2 linked regions of the Cricetulus griseus genome follow. The protein of the gene in region 1 interacts with the protein of each later gene in a pairwise test. Links are inferred from orthologs where the notes say so. Each region holds a gene or a part of one and is shown on either strand. Other genes may lie near its edges.

Evidence for each region.
Region 2: the proteins of Mob3c (region 1) and Zbtb10 interact in binary tests that used the Homo sapiens proteins (3 or more experiments, as listed by UniProt). The link is inferred for Cricetulus griseus from reciprocal best matches to the Homo sapiens genes MOB3C and ZBTB10.

The regions. Positions count from the first base shown.
Region 1 is NC_048595.1:36,509,985-36,513,889, reverse strand, and holds the start of Mob3c (MOB kinase activator 3C), read left to right. Parts: upstream 1-1,034; 5' UTR 1,035-1,167; intron 1,168-3,905. UniProt on the Homo sapiens protein: May regulate the activity of kinases.
Region 2 is NC_048595.1:138,601,425-138,605,299, reverse strand, and holds the start of Zbtb10 (zinc finger and BTB domain-containing protein 10), read left to right. Parts: upstream 1-885; 5' UTR 886-975; coding exon 976-1,977; intron 1,978-3,875. UniProt on the Homo sapiens protein: May be involved in transcriptional regulation.

The sequences.
Region 1 (3,905 bases):
ATGCTTGTCTGTCTAATCTAGAAAGTCTCCAATTTCCCCTTCCCAGACAGAGCCTGCAGTCTGATTTCTGGGGTCAAGCCATGGTATGTGTTAAGCTGTGATGTGGGATATCGGCTTGTTTTCAAGGGAGAAATCTAGGTAGAAAAGTGGGCAATGAACATCAAGTATGGAAAGGTTTGAACCCGTTTGGAAAGGGTTGGGGGAGAAGCCATTCTGTAGAACAACAACGGAGACAATGGCTTGGAGATAGGATATAGGATATAGGTGACTTTGGTTGGTGTGAGAATCTACCCAGCCAGAACAAGGTCTCCAGCTGGTGTGGGGAAGGTGACATCTTCTTTGAACGTTCTCTGGGAAGGAGGGTGGAGGAATCAGTCCTTCCTCTCAGGAGTAACCCTGTCCACGACTCCCTATAGCTATTCACTCAATGGCTGGCTGGCTGGCTGGCTGGCTGGCTGGCTGGCTGGCTGGCTGGCTGGGAGAGGGTGTCGCTACACAGCCCTGGACTAGCCTGGAGTTCACAGAGATCTGCCTGCCTCTGCCTCCCTAGTGCTGGAATTAAGACATGCTCCCTCCCTCCCTCCACCACCAGCAGCATCTAGCCTTGAGTGCTGTTTGTGATAGTGGGCTGAAGCTGAATATAGGCTGTTAGGAACCCTATAGAGTTCAGAGACAAGTGAAGCTCAGATGACTGCGGGAGGACTAGGAAACCATTCAAACCACAAGGGTTTTGTTTTTTTCTTTCTGCTTCAGGGAGAAGCTGGAGTTACTCCCATTCTACAGCCTAGGAATCTGAGGCCGCCTTCTTAAGAAAGATCCAGACGGTCCCCTGGGGCGGCTGCTCAGTAAGTCCTCGGCCCTAGGGGAGGCTGCGAGCTCCACCGGACTTCCCACTTCCCGGAAAGGCTGGAGAGAAGAGTGTGTGTCCTGGGACGGGGGAGTCCCTTTCCCCGCCCCTCCCCGCCCCGTGGCCACGGCGTGGCTGAGCCCGGGGCGGAGCTGGCGTCTGCTCGCGGACGAGCGGCGGGACGGCGGCCGCAGCCCGGGGCAGGCAGGCGGACAGGCGCGGAGACCGGCCCGGCGGGATCACCCGCAGGAGGACGAGCCAGCCCGCTGCGGTGTGGCCGCACCGACAGAGACCCGGAGCTGTCCACCTAGGCGGAGCGCGTGAGTGAGAGCCGCGTCTCCGCGCCCCTCGCGGCCCGGTCTTGCTTCCACTTTCAGTTCTTCTTGGTCCTCGCTTGCCAACTTCTGGAAGCGACCCGAGCCCGAAAGCAGGCTGGCCACAGTCCTCAGCCCCGGGTCCAAGGCTCAGCGCCCGAACGCCGGGGTGGGGGGTGGCGGTGGCGGTGGCTGGTGAGGGGGCGTGTCTTCAGGAGCGGAAACGTCAGGCGGGCTCCTCTGGGTCCTAGGACCTGTTTGGCCCTAACTGCTGGAGATAAAGGGAGGTTCTTAGGAGCTCAAAGGAGGGGAGGGGGCGGGTCTGGCTGGACAGTAGCTGTGTCTTACACTCCTACTTTTATATTAGATCTTGTCCTGCAGGGCATACCTGGCTAGATTCTGAGTTCAGACTGGGGCGGTTTCTGAGCCAGGCCTGGGAGGGGCAGGTGTGTCCCTGGCAGGGGGCTAGATATTAGAAACAGGCTGGGTCGGTCAACCTTTGCTCTTCATCTGGGAAGATTAGATGCTCAGTCATGGAGTGAGCAAACTACTGGCCACTCACCCAGTAATTAAAGTGGAGGGTCCACTGGGAGAGAGGGCCCAGAGGCTCTGGAAGAAACAGTCTCAGTGATGGCATGAGGCTGGGGAGAGAACAGCGGTAAGAGACATAGCTAGAAGGGGACCTGCCCTCTTAGCTTACCTCCTGTACTCCAAGTTTACTCTTTCTAGGAAAAGTCCTGGGCCTTAAGTTCTACAGCAAGGAGGTGGGGCCTCTCTACTCCCTTCCTCTCCTCTTATCTACACCAGGCCAGTGGCCAGACAGCAGGAAAAGGGTCCTTTGTACCTTATTAGAGGCTAAGTCCCTCTCTATCCCAACCACCTACTTCTTATAACTTTCTATGCAAAGTTGGGCTCCTCAAATCCTGATTCTGGGCTTCAGTTTCCCCATCTGCTCATGTAGGTTAGGCCACTTGATTTTTCAGAGCTGTTTCAACTTGAAGACTTGTATTCCTATATGTCTGGTATTGTGGGTAAGTGAAGGTGGGCATGCAGGTATGGAGGCTGACATCAGTTATCTTACTCACTCTCCACTTCATTTATTGAGGCAAGGTCTATTTTTAAAAAATAATTACATTTATTTATGTGTACGCACACACACACACACACACACACACACACACGTATGTACCACAATGTACATGTTATAGTTAGAGACAGTTGGTGGGAGTTCTCTCCTTCTACCATGAGGGTCCCTCAGGCCAGTAAGTTTACCCATTGAGACATCTCACCAGCCCAAGGCAAGGTGTTTCTGAACCTGGGGCTTGCAGGGGTTCCCTGCCTCTACCTCCTAAGTTCTAGGGTTACAGAAGGCTGCCAGGTCTTGTCAGGTTTTTCATAGGTTCTGGAGATCAAAACTGGTCCTCATGCTTGCACTACAAGCTCTTTACCCACTGAACCATCTCCCCAGCCAACTCTAAGACTCTTGAGTCTAAGCTTTCCCTAAAGCCCGGCCACCAATGTTATGCCAGTCTGACTTTATCTAGAGGGCTTAGGGACAGAAATGGCAGAGTGGTCACCATACAAGGTTGAGATCTGGAGGAGGGTGCTGAAGGAGGTAGCATTCAGTAGGATGGAATGAGAAATCAGGAATCTAGCAGCAAAAGACACACATGCAGGAGAGAGTAAGGGCATGCTCAGGGATCAAGGAGAAGCCCAGGGTGGCTGCTGGTGGGAGGTGGAGTGGGGAAGTTAGGGTGTGGAGTTGAAAAGTAAGAGTCTATAACAGTCAGTAATGGTTGGCCATATCAAGGTGGAGGACCCAGAAACCCCACTGATTGCATGAGTGGTTTTGGAAATCCTGCCCCAGGCAGAGCTTACAAGGGAGACAGCAACTGAAGTATACAGAGCTCTTCATTCAGGAAGTTCAGGCCCCAGCCTGGCATTTCTTTGAGAAGAAGCTGGGGGGTGGGCAGAATAAATGAGAGAAACTTCCATACGTTCAAGCTTCTCTCAAGTGGTCAGGAACTCTCTCTGCCCTCTAAACTACTCTCCTTTTTCCTGATTGATCCATTCTGCTTGCCTGCTGTGATGAGAAGGAAAAACTGTTCCAAACATTTCTGTAAGTTTGATTTGTTGCCAGAAGTAACATCTCTCTGTACTCTATGCCTTTGGTTACCTAACCAACCTAACCCCCACCCTCTCTATCCTGGTCCTGCCACAGCAGTTAACAAAAATGTGAGAAAGGAAATTGCTTCAAAGTCAAGCCAGTCTGAGGTGAAGGATAAGCTTTGTCTGCCACTGTCTCAGGCCTCATTCAGTGTGGAGCTAGACTCGGGGTTTAGACAAACCAAGGTTGAGAACAAGTCAGAGTCAGCATGGAGCCCGAGCTCAGTGCTTAGCTTATACAGCCTAGCGGTCAGGGTCTGTGCTCCGTTTATTCCAGTCTTGGCAGTAGCCTGGATCTGTATTCCCCAGTAGTCATATACATTGGTGGGAGAGATGAAATGCCGAAGATGCTCAGAAACCTGACTAAATCAGAGTGTTCAAAGATTTACAAGGACTAAATCCGTGGTGATGTAAGCAAGCCAGTTTTGAATCAGGGGCTGGATCCCAGGACTTTGGGGGCTCTGATTGATGCCCCCTGAAGTCTGTTCTGAGTCTGGCAGCCTTCTGTTCTAAGAGGCAAAGCAAACATCCAGAAGGACCAGCAGGATGGATCTGGCTGCTCCCCCTGCCCCAGGGTA
Region 2 (3,875 bases), about 100 Mb from region 1:
AAGTTCACTTCCTCGGGCACGGCCACCCACCCCCCAGCAGATGACAAGGCCGGGGCGCGCTCCCACCGCAGTTACTCCTGGAGTCCCAGGTGAAGTCGTGGCGACAGCAGGGCACGGTGCGCCGGGGCGCGCGGCGGCGAGGCGGTCCCTGACACCCGCCAGCTGTTTGTCCTAGCCGAGCCGGCCCCGCCCCGAGACCCCGGCCCCGCGCCCCGCCCGCGGCCGCTCGCCGCTCGCTTCCTTCCCGCGGCCGCACCCCCGCCCGCGGGCCTGAGCGGCCGGGCCCCTTTCCCGGTCCCCCGGCGCCCCCGGCCCAGCCCAGCCCGGCCCAGCCCCCCCCTCCCCGGCCGGCCCCCACCCTCTCCCCCTCCAGCGGTTACTGCTACCCCGGTGCATTGTGGGCGCACGGTCCGTTGTTCATTTGCCATTCGACCTCCGCCAGGGCCTGGTCGGACGGAAACGCTCCGCCGGCTTTATTGTCGGCTCGCTATGTGGCGGAGCCCAGAGGCTTAGCGCGCCTCTCGCGTCTGCGCCTCGGCAGCCGGCGGCGGCGGCGCGGCTCCCCCGAGGACTGAGAGCTGTTGGCGGGCCGGTGTGTGCGCGCGGCGCTGAAGCGGGGCAGCGGAGGGGCGTCCGCACTCCTCCTCAACTTCGAAGGCCGCACGCGCCCCGGCTCGCCGCTCCGCCGCCCGCCCACCTCTCCGCGCGGACGCTGCCCGGAGCACGGCGGGGCGGGGGTGGAGAGGACGCGGCCGGACAGCGGCGGCGGCGGCGGCGGCGACGCGTGCGGCGGCCCCGGGAGCGAGGCGAGCCGGCGGGAGGGTGAGGCGGGCCGGCGGGAGCGCAGCTCAGCGCAAGCGCGCCCGGGGGCGGGGGGGGGGTGAGACGTTGGGGAGCCGCGGCGAGCGAGCGGGACGGGGCCCGAGGCGGTGTGCGAGCCGAGGCACCGGGCGGGCGGCGGCGGCGGCGCGCGCCATGTTCAGTGAAATGAACCGCAGGACGCTGGCGTTCCGAGGAGGCGGGTTGGTCACCGGCGGTGGTGGCGGCGGCGGCGGCCGGCGCCCCACGAACAATAACGCTGGCGGGAGGCCTCTGCTTGGCCTCCGCGGCCGCATCCGCGACAGCCCGCGCGCCGCGCGCGCCGCTGCAGCCAATGGGCGCGGGGCCGACGAGGAAATGGCAATCGGAGGGCCTGGAGCCCCAAGACTCGGAGGCCTCCGCCGGGCGGCCGCCGCCGCCGCCGCCGCCCCGCTGCCGGCCGCCGCCGCCGAGGACGCCAAGGAGTTGCTGCTCCCTCAGGACGCGGGCGGCCCCGCCTCGCTGGGCGGCGGCGCGGGGGGCCCCCTGCTAGCGGAAAGGAACCGTCGGACTCTGGCCTTCCGCGGGGGAGGCGCCGGGGGTCTCGGCAACAATGGCAGCAGCCGCGGCCGCCGGGGGACCTCGGCGTGGCCCCTCAGGCATTTCAATGGGCGAGGGCCGGCGGCCGTGGATCTGGAGCTGGACGCGCTGGAGGGGAAGGAGTTGATGCAGGACGGCGCGTCCCTGAGCGACAGCACCGAGGAAGAGGAGGAGGGGGCGAGCCCCGGCGACGGCAGTGGGGCGGAAGGCGGCAGCTGCAGCAGCAGCAGGCGGTCGGGAGGCGATGGCGGGGACGAAGCGGAGGGCAGCGGTGTGGGAGCTGGCGACGGAGAGACTGTCCAGCACTTCCCGCTTGCGAGGCCCAAGTCCCTCATGCAGAAGCTCCAGAGCTCCTTCCAGACCTCTTGGCTCAAGGACTTCCCTTGGCTGCGGTACTCCAAGGATACTGGCCTTATGTTTTGCGGCTGGTGCCAAAAGACCCCCGAGGATGGGGGCAGCGTGGACCTTCCCCAGCTGGGGCGTGATGAGCTTTCGCGAGGGACCCGCAACTATAAGAAAACCCTGCTCCTGAGGCACCACGTCTCCACCGAGCACAAACTCCACGAAGCCAACGCCCAGGTACTGTAGATCTGCTCTTGCTTTTTTTTTTTTTTTTCTTTTTTTTTTTTTTTTGAGACCTTTTGGGAAAGGTTTATCAGTGAAAAAGACTAAAACTAAAGCAAAGAAAGAAAGAAAAAGACCTCCCCGGGTGAAGGCGTCCTTCCCATCCAGAGAGATTCGGGGGAGCTTATGCGTAGGGGTTTAGAAAGCCTGGGAACAAAGTTTTCCAAAGTTGTGGATGTATTGGGGGAGGGGTGGAACGACAGTTTCCTAATGATAGCGCTGGATCTCTCCCTCCCTCCCTCCTTCCCTCCCTCTCTCTCTCTCTCTCTCTCTCTCTCTCTCTCTCTCTCTGTGTGTGTGTGTGTCCGTCTGTCTCTCTCTGTCTCTCTCTGTCTCTGTCTCTCTCTCTTTTATGACTAAGGGTTTGTCTAAGAGATTGAATCCGAAAGAGAGGTTAGAGATTTTAGACTTAGGATTGACTTTCGATCCAAAACATTTTTATCAGCGGAGATTTTTAGAAGTCTACTGCCTTGTGTTAATACACACTGAAGTGCTAGAAGTAGACTGAAGAATGGTTAAACAGTTTCCTTAAGCTTTGGTGCTACTGGCAGTCCACTCTTAAATGCTCATGTCAGGTCGGGATAGTGTGAAATATGAGAGGCATATGTAAATATGGAGGAAGTTAGTTGAATAACGAGAATAATTTTACGATGTCTAACTCCGTTAAACTTGAACCTTCTTACCAAGGCTCACTTTTGGTAAAATTATTGTACATTTTAGTTATTTTTGTACGTATTTCTCTTCTGAGAATCTCTATTATCCTTTGAAAAACTTTGTTGTGAATAGCTTATATGAAGGGTGTTAAACTTAGCTTTGGAAATGTTTAATGTGAAGTGGTTTGGACTTCATTTACTCACTGGAAAACCATCAGTCCGTAGTTACAAAACAATCTAGGAGTTTTAATTCACTTTCCTAAAACAGTCTTACTTTAAAGATAGTAAATAACCTAACCATTTTGATAGCTCTTTTCAAGTCAAACAGATGTTGGTCAGTCCTCCTTTTTATGACTAAGACAACCTGTGGTGGTGGGTGGAATTCATTCTTTTGTATTTCTAGCCAGTCATTGATTTTAGAAAGTCAACATTCAGGTACCTCACTGGGGTGTTTATGGAGGAGCCTGCTGCTCAGCACACGTACACTGTAGTTTATTAGGCACACAAGTAACCCAGCTTATCTACCAGATATCAGAGGCTTTAGTTTTAAAAGCAAGGTCCCCCCCACCCCCAGAAAGCAGGGAAACCGTGTTTGTTTGGATTGATTTTGTTATTTGCGCAAATTACTTTTCCCAAATCTTTTGTTGTTGTTTTTTCGAGACAGGGTTTCTCTGTGTAGCTTTGGAGCCTATCCTGGCACTTGCTCTGGGGACCAGGCTGGCCTTGAACTCACAGAGATCCGCCTGCCTCTGCCTCCCGAGTGCTGGGATTAAAGGCAAGCCCCCCCCCTCCCCCGGGCATACTTTTCCTAAATCTTACAAGAAGGTTGCTGTGTTTTCAGACAGGGTCTGCTATGTAGCTCTGGCTTGGCTGTCTTGGAACTCTGTAGACCAGGTTGGCTGAAAACTCAGATCCTCCCACTGGGATTAAAGGTTTGTGCCGCCACTTGTGAAACAGGTCACTTATTTTTAAAGATGGAGCCCAGAAGTTTTTAGTAAATTGGCTTAAATCCTGGATGACAGCTGAGACTAGTGCCTATAAAGGATGTTGTAATGGAAAAGGGATGAGTTTTGAGCACATCTGGGTTCAGCTCTCTGCTTTCTGCATTACTACCTTTGGAGTGAGTTTGATAGGCCTAACATTTGTCTTGTTTTAGGTGTGCCAGACTCATTTTCATTATCCTGGAAAGTAATTTTGTTT